Macaca mulatta: one gene and its partners. The main gene of each other region encodes a partner of the protein of the gene in region 2 in a complex. Links are inferred from orthologs where the notes say so. Each region holds a gene or a part of one and is shown on either strand. Other genes may lie near its edges. The genes, in order: G3BP1, IGF2BP1 and ELAVL4.

The links.
Region 1: IGF2BP1 (region 2) and G3BP1 share a complex: the UniProt entries of both Homo sapiens proteins name them as parts of the TAU mRNP complex. The link is inferred for Macaca mulatta from reciprocal best matches to the Homo sapiens genes IGF2BP1 and G3BP1.
Region 3: IGF2BP1 (region 2) and ELAVL4 share a complex: the UniProt entries of both Homo sapiens proteins name them as parts of the TAU mRNP complex. The link is inferred for Macaca mulatta from reciprocal best matches to the Homo sapiens genes IGF2BP1 and ELAVL4.

What each region holds. Positions count from the first base shown.
Region 1 is NC_133411.1:160,738,384-160,742,034, forward strand, and holds part of G3BP1 (ras GTPase-activating protein-binding protein 1), read left to right. Parts: intron 1-615; coding exon 616-817; intron 818-2,562; coding exon 2,563-2,664; intron 2,665-3,246; coding exon 3,247-3,358; intron 3,359-3,575; coding exon 3,576-3,651. UniProt on the Homo sapiens protein: Protein involved in various processes, such as stress granule formation and innate immunity. Plays an essential role in stress granule formation.
Region 2 is NC_133421.1:61,007,783-61,012,169, reverse strand, and holds the start of IGF2BP1 (insulin-like growth factor 2 mRNA-binding protein 1), read left to right. Parts: upstream 1-1,480; 5' UTR 1,481-1,846; coding exon 1,847-2,021; intron 2,022-3,214; coding exon 3,215-3,275; intron 3,276-4,387. UniProt on the Homo sapiens protein: RNA-binding factor that recruits target transcripts to cytoplasmic protein-RNA complexes (mRNPs). This transcript 'caging' into mRNPs allows mRNA transport and transient storage.
Region 3 is NC_133406.1:190,462,979-190,465,639, reverse strand, and holds the end of ELAVL4 (ELAV-like protein 4), read left to right. Parts: intron 1-987; coding exon of another isoform or gene 988-1,029; coding exon 1,030-1,357; 3' UTR 1,358-2,056; downstream 2,057-2,661. UniProt on the Homo sapiens protein: RNA-binding protein that is involved in the post-transcriptional regulation of mRNAs. Plays a role in the regulation of mRNA stability, alternative splicing and translation.

The DNA of each region.
Region 1 (3,651 bases), on a different chromosome or scaffold from region 2:
TTGTATTCTGAATCATAACTAATATATTTTCTCCCCCAAATTCTTTACGTATTTGAAAGTTTTTGTGTGTTTGTGTTAAAAGCCACATATCATAAAATTTGCCATCTTAACCTTTTTTTTTATCTTAACCATTTTTAAATATAAAGTATAGTAGTGTTAACTGTATAGATACGGTTGTATGACAGATCTCTAGGACTTTTCACCTTACAAATCTTATTGAAGATAACTTCATATACCTTACAAACAGACTGTACCCATTGAATGGCAACTTTCTTTTCCCCCTCCCCCAGCCTATTTTGAGAGTTTTTCTGATGTTGTATGCTAAATGAATTGTAATGATTGTGGGATTCCAGCCATAAAGTGGTTTGGTTCATTTTGATGTCCTGATTCATTTGCTTATCAGAATTTGCCCAAATGGATTCCAGTGAAGTTATTGAGTGGCATTTTAAAAATTACTTTTTAAAAACTCAGATATACAATTCTTAGCTTTTTTTTTTTTTTTTTTTGAATAGAGGGAGCTAACTCTATGTTCTGGTTTCTGGTTAATAAATGATGGGGAATTTTTTGCGAAATAAATGGTGGCAGAATGATATTTCTCAAATTTTTCCATCAAAGTAATGACATGGAAGAACATTTAGAGGAGCCTGTTGCTGAACCAGAGCCTGATCCTGAACCAGAACCAGAACAAGAACCTGTATCTGAAATCCAAGAGGAAAAGCCTGAGCCAGTATTAGAAGAAACTGCTCCTGAGGATACTCAGAAGAGTTCTTCTCCAGCACCTGCAGACATAGCTCAGACAGTACAGGAAGACTTGAGGGTATGAAACATGTCTTCATTTTTATTCTATTTCTAGTTATTTTTTAAAAAAGAGAAATCTCTGTTCTGTATTGCTGTTCGGTTGACTTTTGTAGATACATTTTCATATTGGTGGTTCATTTCAGGGAAATTTCTTAGATATTGAGCCATGCCTTTGATAAGAGAGAGGTAAGATGTGTATTAGTTTATTTCATCAAAAAAAACCACTCCCTTCCCCTAGGTAACTTGAATGCCTGTTAGACTAGAAAGTTTAGGTGCCACTGTAGCACCGTGTCAGTGATTCCTTATCTTTTTAATATTCAAGCTTTTACACTATAAATTATTACATGCTTGTTACTACAAATTTATAACATCTTTTTAAGGAAAACAACATGGCAGAATATACTTTTTCTATGAAATTTTTTTGAAGATAACTTTATAGTGGAAGTAGGAATGAACTGCTGAAGTAAGATTTCTTTGCTAGTTGGCATACCTGATTTCGGAAGTTTTCAGTTTGTCCTCCTGAGTCTTATTAGGGTGTTGTTAACTGAACTCATGAAACCTTTACATTTGGCACTCTGAGAAGGAATATAATTTTTAGTGCTGTATTGATAGGCTCAGGGTTATGTCATTTGTTTGTTCAACAATTAATTCAAATTCCTGCTGTGTGTTAGGCATTGTTCAAAGTGTAGGTATTGGCAAAACAGATAGGGGTTCTTGCTCTCTGGCAGCTAATAGGTGAGTAGGAAAGAGCAATGTTGAAATGACTTTAGCTTGCAAGTGGAAAAAATTAGCTGGTCATGGTGATGCCTATGTGTGATCCCAGCTGCTTGGGAGGCTGAGGGAGGAGGATTGCTTAGCCTGGGAAGTCAAGGCTGCAGTGAGCTGTGATTATGTCACTGCATTCCAGCTTGGGAGACAGAGTAAGACCTTGTCACAAGAACAAAACAATAAGAAGCAAGTGGGAAAGTAGTTTGACTGGACCAGATGACCACTTAGTTGGTTATTATAGTAAACCTAGTAAGAGAGGATGATGGTTTGAATTAGAGTTGTGGCAGTGGAAATGGAAAAGAAATAATTAGGTAGAATAACAGGTTGTGACAATTTTTAAATGTGTGAGAAAGGTGTTCATGATGATTCTACAGTTGATATAATTGAGTCAATGTTTGTACCATGGATTGGATTGAATGACAGCAGGAAGAGCTGAGCTGATTTTGGAGGAGAGGGAATTTTGTTTGATTCACAAATTTGAATGAAAGTAGCTTTCCTTGGGCCAGGCGTTGTGGCTCACGCATTTAATCCCAGCACTTTGGGAGGCAGAGGCCAGGAGGATTGCTTGAGTTCAGGAGTTAAAGACCAGCCTGGTCAATACAGTGAGACTTCATCTCTGCTAAAAAGAAAAAATAGCTGGATATGGTGGCACATGCCTGTAGTTTCAGCTGCTTGGGAAACAGGTGGGAGGATCACTTGAGCACAGGAGATGGAGGCTGCCGCGAGCTGTGTACATGCCACTGCATTCCAAAAAAAAAAAAAAAGTGAGTAGTTTCTTGAACCTAAGCCTCTCAGATTTGCCTGATCATCAGTCCCAAGGAATTTCAATACTAAATTTTGAATAGCTGGAAGAGAAGAATCTTAATATATGTATAAACTCCATCCTGCCTGTGAGAATGTGTTACCATTTGTTTTGTACAGGAAATCAAGAGTTAGTAGCTTTTATATTGTTTTGATACATGGTATAATTATGTAATGTTGGTATTGCTCCCTTAGACGTTTTCTTGGGCATCTGTGACCAGTAAGAACCTTCCACCCAGTGGAGCTGTTCCAGTTACTGGGATACCACCTCATGTTGTTAAAGTACCAGCTTCACAGGTAAGGTCTTAATAAAACTTGTACATTAGGCAAGTGTACTTATATTTTGGTAATTTGATTCAACAGAGGTTTAGAGAGTGTGAAAACTGGTCAGGTGCAGTGTGGCTCATGCCTGCAATCCCAGCACTTTAGGAGGCTGAAGCCAGCTGATCACTGGAGCCTACCAGTTTGAAACCAATTCAGGCAACATAGTGAGACCCTGTCTCTACAAAAAATAAGAAATTAGCCGGGCCTTGTGGCATGCATTTGTAGTCCTAGTTAATTAGGAAGCTGAGGTGGGAGGATTGCTTGAGTTCAGGAGGTTGAGGCTGCAGTGAGTCATGATTGTGCCACTGGACTGCATCATGGGCAACACAGTGAGACTCTGGCTCAAAAAAAAAAAAAAAAAAAACAACCCAAATCAATGTAGAAACAAAACTGATATATAAGACAGAAGAGAAGGGTATAAGGTGGTTTTTAATGATTTTTCTTGTTAGGGAATTGTCCATTTTCTAGTTTAAAACTTGTTAGCTAAGAAACTTCATTAAGAAAAAGGATAAGCCTGCTTTGTTTTAACACAAAAGTTAACTTAAAATTTTTCAGCCCCGTCCAGAGTCTAAGCCTGAATCTCAGATTCCACCACAGAGACCTCAAAGGGATCAAAGAGTGCGAGAACAGCGAATAAATATTCCTCCCCAAAGGGGACCCAGACCAAGTAAGAGCTCAGAAGGGCGATTTCTCGTTTGGGGGATTTTGAGGTGAGAGCTTATTTTGGGAGGGCAGTTGATATTTATATACTTTAAAATAAAAATATTGTAGGGTTGATGGAATTGCCTGTTTTTACGGTAGAGGGAAAACTATTGAATGTGAGCAGTCACTGAAAGATGTCTTCTTTCTCTTACCTTTAATTGATGTTTTTGTCTCCTTTTAAGTCCGTGAGGCTGGTGAGCAAGGTGACATTGAACCCCGAAGAATGGTGAGACACCCTGACAGTCACCAACTCTTCAT
Region 2 (4,387 bases):
CTCTCCGCCACCCCTGGCGCCATCCCAGCCCCCGCCGCTAGAAACTCGTTGCTCTCGCTCGCCGCTCCGCCGTGGAGCCAGGGCTTGCGAGTGGACCGCGCGTCCCGCTCTCCGCCGCGTATCCGGGACTCCGAAACGCGCGGCGAGCAGCCCCCTCCCCCACCGCCCAGACGGGGGTGCGACCGCCCACGTGTCGCCCCTTGCCCAGTCGGGTCCTTCCCTCGGGCTCCCGGAGCTGGAGGATCCGGAATGAGTTGGTCAAAGCCGAGGGAAGGGACCCGGGCGGATCCGCTTCCCCCTCCCCAGGAACGGCGGGAGGGGGAGAGGAGGGGCCACCGCCCCCTCCCCTAAGCTCCCGCCCCTCGCTTCCCAGTGGGCCGAGCGGAAATTACCCCCTCCCCCCGCGGGTCTGACCTGGGGACGTGGGCGGGGCTTCGCGCTTAGCCCCCCGCCCTCCGTCCCTCTCCCGCCTTCCCGCCGGGTTCGGAATCCTGCACCCCAAACAAAGTTCCGAGACCCGAACCTAGGGCCCAGAGAGCTGCCAGCAGTGTCCTGGGTGGTGCGGGCGCTGGAAACTCCACCTGTCTGTCCCCGACTCGGAGGGAAAAGGGGACCATTCAAATCTCCACCCGGTCACTCCCTCCCTAAGACCTCCCCCTTCGGTTCGCTCGGGTTAGCCCTAGCTATCACCCCTCTTCCTTCTGTCCCACTGTCCCTCTCTCCTGGGGTCATCTCCGGCCAGTTCCGCGAGTTCCCCCCAGGACCCCGTAACGTTATCATTTAACAGCCGGACCCCGGGTGCGAACCACCCTTTCTCCCGTGGGGATCTCAAAACATGATTTCCCGCGGCTTCCTCGTTCTCCACTGGGATCCCCCGTGTTCCCAGCTTCCCAGTCCCGCGCTCGCAGGGTCCCCCGGTCGTGCATCCCCGGAGGCGGGGGAGTTTAGTGGGGCTGGGGTGGTGAAGGCAGAGACCCCCCCATTTAAACATCTAGGGAAAAGGTGGCTTTCTTTTTAAATCACCAGCTCGTGCGACCCTCTCCTGAAGACCCCAGAGTCTTCGGCTTCTCTTTGTCTATCTCGGCCGTCCCCCGCCTGTCAGTCGCTAGCAGTTAACCGGGGTGGGGTGAGCAACCCCGCCCCCCAAAACGAATAAAAAATAACCGTACATTTTACCCTTTAAGACCTGGGAGATCTGGGCTGGACCATCCTCCCCCAGTTCGGGCTGGGGTAGGGGGATGGGTGGGGGCGGGGCGCTTCCCTAGGGGCCAGGTTCTTGCAAAGGGGGAAGGGGCCATAGAGCTTCAGGGACGCTGCCCCACCGCCCCAGTTTACCACGGGGGTGAGTTAAGTTCTCCACCCTCAGGCGGGAGATTGCTGGGTTTGGCCGGAGGGCCGAGGGGCCCTGTGGCGTCGGGGGTCTTCCCCTGCAGGGTGGGTGGGGGCTGTCACCACGTGGCTTCTCCTTTTTTTTTTTTTTTTTTCCGCTCCATTTTTTTTCAAGTCGATTTTATTTAGAGGCGGCGCCAGGGCGGCCGCGGAGAAACGTGACACACCAGCCCTCTCGGAGGGGTTTCGGACCGAAGGGAAGGAGCTGCGCCGCGTCGTCCGTCTCCCTGCGCGCCGCGGGCACTTCTCCCGGGCTCTCCCCGAACTCTCCCGCGACCTCTGCGCGCCCTCAGGCCGCCTTCCCCGCCCTGGGCTCGGGACAACTTCTGGGGTGGGGTGCAAAGAAAGTTTGCGGCTCCTGCCGCCGGCCTCCCCGCCTCTCGGCCTAAGAGGCTTGCCGCCCGCGTCCACTCGTTTGGCCTTGCCCGGGACCGCGTCCTGCCCCGAGACCGCCACCATGAACAAGCTTTACATCGGCAACCTCAACGAGAGCGTGACCCCCGCGGACTTGGAGAAAGTGTTTGCGGAGCACAAGATCTCCTACAGCGGCCAGTTCTTGGTCAAATCCGGCTACGCCTTCGTGGACTGCCCAGACGAGCACTGGGCGATGAAGGCCATCGAAACTTTCTCCGGTAAGAGCACAGCCACCTCCCGGAAAAGCCACAACGAAAGCCCCGAACAACGGAGACCCGCACCTTCCGGTTCCTCTCCCGCCAACTCCTCTCTTCCCGGGCCTGCGGGGCTTGGCCTCTGTACCCAACCTCGACCTACCCCCTTCGATGCCCCCTCCCTCGCTCTGCGCCCCCCACCCCCGCGCAGAAACATTCGGGATTTCCTCATCCCTTCCTCCCAGCCCGAGATAAGCAGCTCTGGCTTCCCCCATCCCTCCTCCCCACCGACGGGGCGGGAGCCCCCACTGGCAGTAGTGGGGGGGTGGATTTAGGGACACGGAGATGACCCCCGGCTGGGCGTTATTTCCACGTCCAGCCCCTCCCTGTCCGCCGGTGGACGGCCCCCCAGCTGGAAAACCCTGGCTCTCCTTCCTCAGTCTTAGGCCTTTCCAGGCGTGGAAGGGGTCCCCCGGACCGCTTGCGATCTCTCCGTTTAGCGTGGGGAATGCAGCCCTCTAGCAGGACTTGCAAGGAAGGGGGTCCTGCCTCCTGCCTAGGGCCTGGGGCTTGAGCCATTTTGATTTGAAAGTGGGGCGTGAGCGGAGTGGCGCGGCGGCGGCGGCGCCGGGTCGCCATGCTGCTTCCCGAGACGCCGAGGCTGGGCCGAGAGGCGCGCGCGGCGGCAGCCAGGCACCCTCCCCGCCGGGCCCCGCTCCGCTCCCCCAGGTCCACCTCTTCCCAAACCAGTCCCGACAGGTGACCGCTCCGCGGCTCCAAGCCCTTCTTCCTGGCCAACAGAGAAAAATAAAGTTTCGTTCTGTACACCGCCTCCCGCCCCGCGCCCCACTTTCTGAGGAACGGGGAGCCCTTTCTCTCCTAGCTCCTTCTCCCCACATCTGGGAGCAATGTAGGCAGCGCAACCACACAAATGGCCTCGCACCTTTCCCAAATCGGGATTCCAGAGCGATCCACTCAACGAGCCTCAGTGATTAAATAAAGCAAAAATTAAAAAATGAATAATAACGAATTTATAGACTCCACCATTCCTAGAGCAACCTTTTTCCCATCTGGCTGCAGAAGCCACTGCCTGGATTCCTAGGAAGATCTCGAATCCCAGTAACTCCTGAATTAGCCTAGTGTCTTTCCCCTTCCTCTTCCCACCCCCAACCCCTGTTCACGCTCTCATGGTAATTTTTTTTTTTTTAAATCTTTAGGGAAAGTAGAATTACAAGGAAAACGCCTAGAGATTGAACATTCGGTGCCCAAAAAACAAAGGTAGGAAAGAGCTCTTTTCTGGGGGGGTGGGGGGGCCGCGGGGGTGTGCTGAGAAGCTGTGTTCAGGGGTCCATAGCGTCTCCAGTGGAAGAAACCCATTACTGGTCTTTCCCACCCCCAACTCCGGATGTTGGGGGCAGGGAGGGAAGATTGGCCAAGATCTTGTAATGGGTGGTTTACAGCTTGTAAAAAAAAATAAGTTGGGGCTGGGGTGGGCTAAAAGATGTTGCTTGTAGAATTAAAGGGGAAAGAAAATCAATAGGGGAGAAACCTTTTGGAGTTTGTTCAACTTGTGGGGCCGTTTTTTGTGGTGAACCTTAAAATCTTCGAAGAGTTCAGACTCAGGGCGATTTCTGCAACTTCGTAGCAGGCCTCATTTTCTGTTTTTCCCACTCTTTCCACACCATAATTCTTAAGTGGATTGCCCTTCTACTCCTAAGTGATGTGGAATCAGTTTCCCGTCCCCCAAAGAATCCCCTTATGCTTGTATTTTATTTATATTTCTGCAACAGGCAAAGACTTTATTTTCCATGGACCCCCCCACCCCCAATCCCTCATATTTCACATCATCCTTCTCCCCAACTGGATTTTCCAAAGAATATGCCTTGGCTGTACTATCCTTTTCGAGCCCCCCTACCCCCACTCCTTCAGCCCATTGTTACAAGGGGACCATCTGGGGTGAGAGCTTTGTGTTGAGGCTGTGAGCTGGGGCTCTTTGGAGGGTCTAGAACTCCGTGGATGAATTGAATGGGGTGTGTGTGTGTGTGTGTGTGTGTGTGTGTGTGTGTGTGTTCCAGTACCCTCTCTCTATTCTCTCTCTTCAGCAAAATGGGGTACCTCCATCATGCTTACCGAGAATTCATGGTGGATTTCAAATATTGCATTGAACTCTGAAATCTTTCCTTGAACTCTGGCTGGGAAGTGTAAGGGCAGAGTCTTTCCACTTTTCTCAAATCAGACTTTAAACATGTTGACAGTGTAGAGTTTGCTCTCATGTCCCAAGTTGAAAAGCAGCTCCCAGTAAATCTTTGATCCTCCTCACCCCCCATTTCAACTGAAAACTTGGTACAATTCAGAATAGTCTCTGGCCTTTTCCGGGTGGGTAGATGGGG
Region 3 (2,661 bases), on a different chromosome or scaffold from region 2:
TAGGCACTGGTAACCTAGTTGTTTCATCTGGTGCATCCATCACAAATCACACAAGGATTTATTTCATCAGACAGTGAATCGAATTTAAAGGGTCATTTTTTTCTTTTCAGGATTACACAAAAACTGAGAAGATTTCTAAGCCTAATACAAAAGCAGTTGTAATAGGGCAAATAACAATTTTATGTTTTTCTAATGTACAGCGATTCAAGATATATAAATGCACAAACCACTTGAAGTCTTGCTCCAATGATGCTTAGGAATAAATTCCAGATAACATAGCATAAAGGAGTAATACATCTTTATTATTATTGCTTGAGTTTGTAGGGGAAACCCTTTTGGATAAATGCTAAATGAAACATGAACCACCCATCTGTTTAATAGCAAGACATGCCTGTTCATTGTCAAGTATCTCCATCCTCACCAAGAAACCTTTGACAACCATAGGTCAAGGGAATGCAAAAATGGTAGACTTAAGCACTTTAGGGCCATCTCCTAATCTGCCTTTAAAAAAAAAAATGAAATTTCCCAAGCACTGGCCAAAGTTAGTCACTTATTCAACCAATAAATATTTATTGAGCATTTTCTATGTGTCACTGTATCTGTGAGATTCCCATATGTGCTCCACTGCATAAACAAATAGGGCCACAGAATGAATGAAATAGACCCTTTCCCCCAAGAGCACATTGTCTATTGTTGGGGTGGGGTGGAGTCAGGGTGGGGTGCGCTCTGAGCATCTACTGTGATAGAACTATTATAGAGCCTTGCTCTGGGAGCCCTGGGAGTCCCTCATGGTTTTTAGAAATGGACCTAGATCTTTCTCTCAGCATGAACATACCCTAGCCAGTCAAGCCATTCCCATCAGAGGAAATGACATAGACATTAGTTTTTACATTTTGGTTTTTGAACCCTGAAGACTCTCCTGCAAACACTCACTCAGCCCTCTGCCCCGTGTCTGTGTCTGTGCATCTGTGTGTTATCCTTGGTCAGACTGATGTCTGGACCAGTCCCCCCTTCTGCTTGTCCCCCCAGGTTCTCCCCAATTACCATTGATGGAATGACAAGCCTTGTGGGAATGAACATCCCTGGTCACACAGGAACTGGGTGGTGCATCTTTGTCTACAACCTGTCCCCTGATTCCGATGAGAGTGTCCTCTGGCAGCTCTTTGGCCCCTTTGGAGCAGTGAACAACGTCAAGGTGATCCGTGACTTCAACACCAACAAGTGCAAGGGATTTGGCTTTGTCACCATGACCAACTATGATGAGGCGGCCATGGCCATCGCCAGCCTCAACGGGTACCGCCTGGGAGACAGAGTGTTGCAAGTTTCCTTTAAAACCAACAAAGCCCACAAGTCCTGAATTTCCCATTCTTACTTACTAAAATATATATAGAAATATATACGAACAAAACACACGCGCGCACACACACACATACACAAAAGAGAGAGAAACAAACTTTTCAAGGCTTATATTCAACCATGGACTTTATAAGCCAGTGTTGCCTAAGTATTAAAACATTGGATTATCCTGAGGTGTACCAGGAAAGGATTTTATAATGCTTAGAAAAAAAGAAAAAAAAAAAACAAAAAAATACCTTTGATGCATTGAATGTTCTTTCATAGCTGTCGTTGTTGAATATAATATACATAGATAGCGATGTGCAGGGATTTTTACCCAGCCAGCTAACTTTACTACCTTCCTTGAAGGTGGATCTTTTTAAGATGACCATTCGCTCATTTGAAGAAGAAAAACAAAAAACAAAAAAAATAATAAAAATAAAACAATTTTTACAAAGTAATGGGATTCAAAGAAAGGAAAAAAAGATTTTTCTTTTTTGTCAAAATGTCGATCCAATCAGATTGGTAAAAACCCCCACACAAATTAAAGAGGAATAATAAAAATTGCAAAAATTAAAAAAAAAAAACTTTTGCAAATTTTTTTATTTTTCCTTTTTTCTTTTATATCATGTGAACTAAAACAGTCTTCTGTTAGGGGATGGGGGCAAGGGGGATACCTGATGACATTAACAATTTAATAACATTAACATTGTTGCCAAAGAGGTGGTCTCTTTGCTGAAAATGGGTTTCAAGAAAAATCTATTTTTATAAAATATAAAGAATTTTTACAAGAGAATCTGGATTTGAGAAAAAAATATTTTGACTGGCTAATTTAGGGGAAATTGACAACTTTGTCGCGTTCATACTGCACTGGTAACTTTTTAGAGATCAAGATGTGTGTTTTAAACTGGATTCGTAGACTGTTTTTTGAAGGATGGGCTATAAACAGATGATCTTCATATCTTTTCATAGCATGTAATAATAATTAAAAAACAATTATTAATTACTAGGGGAAAGGAGTGTTCGTTCTACCCAGGGTACCACAGTTCCCCACAGTCAAAACCCAAAAGCAAGGAGATGAGTTGAAAGACAGTTTTTCTTTAAGTCATCAGTATGGGATGTCAGCAGAACAAAAATTAAAAAGATTAATTTTCCTTTTGATCTAAAACTTCCTTAGTTTGAGCAGTAGGTGCTACGAAATTATTTACATATCTTAGTATCATAGTTAAATGTAATGTGTTTAGGAGAGGAAAACAAAAGATACATTTGCTTTAAATTCATTAAGAAATTTTGAAATTCACTTTGTAGCCCATGCTGATAGAATTG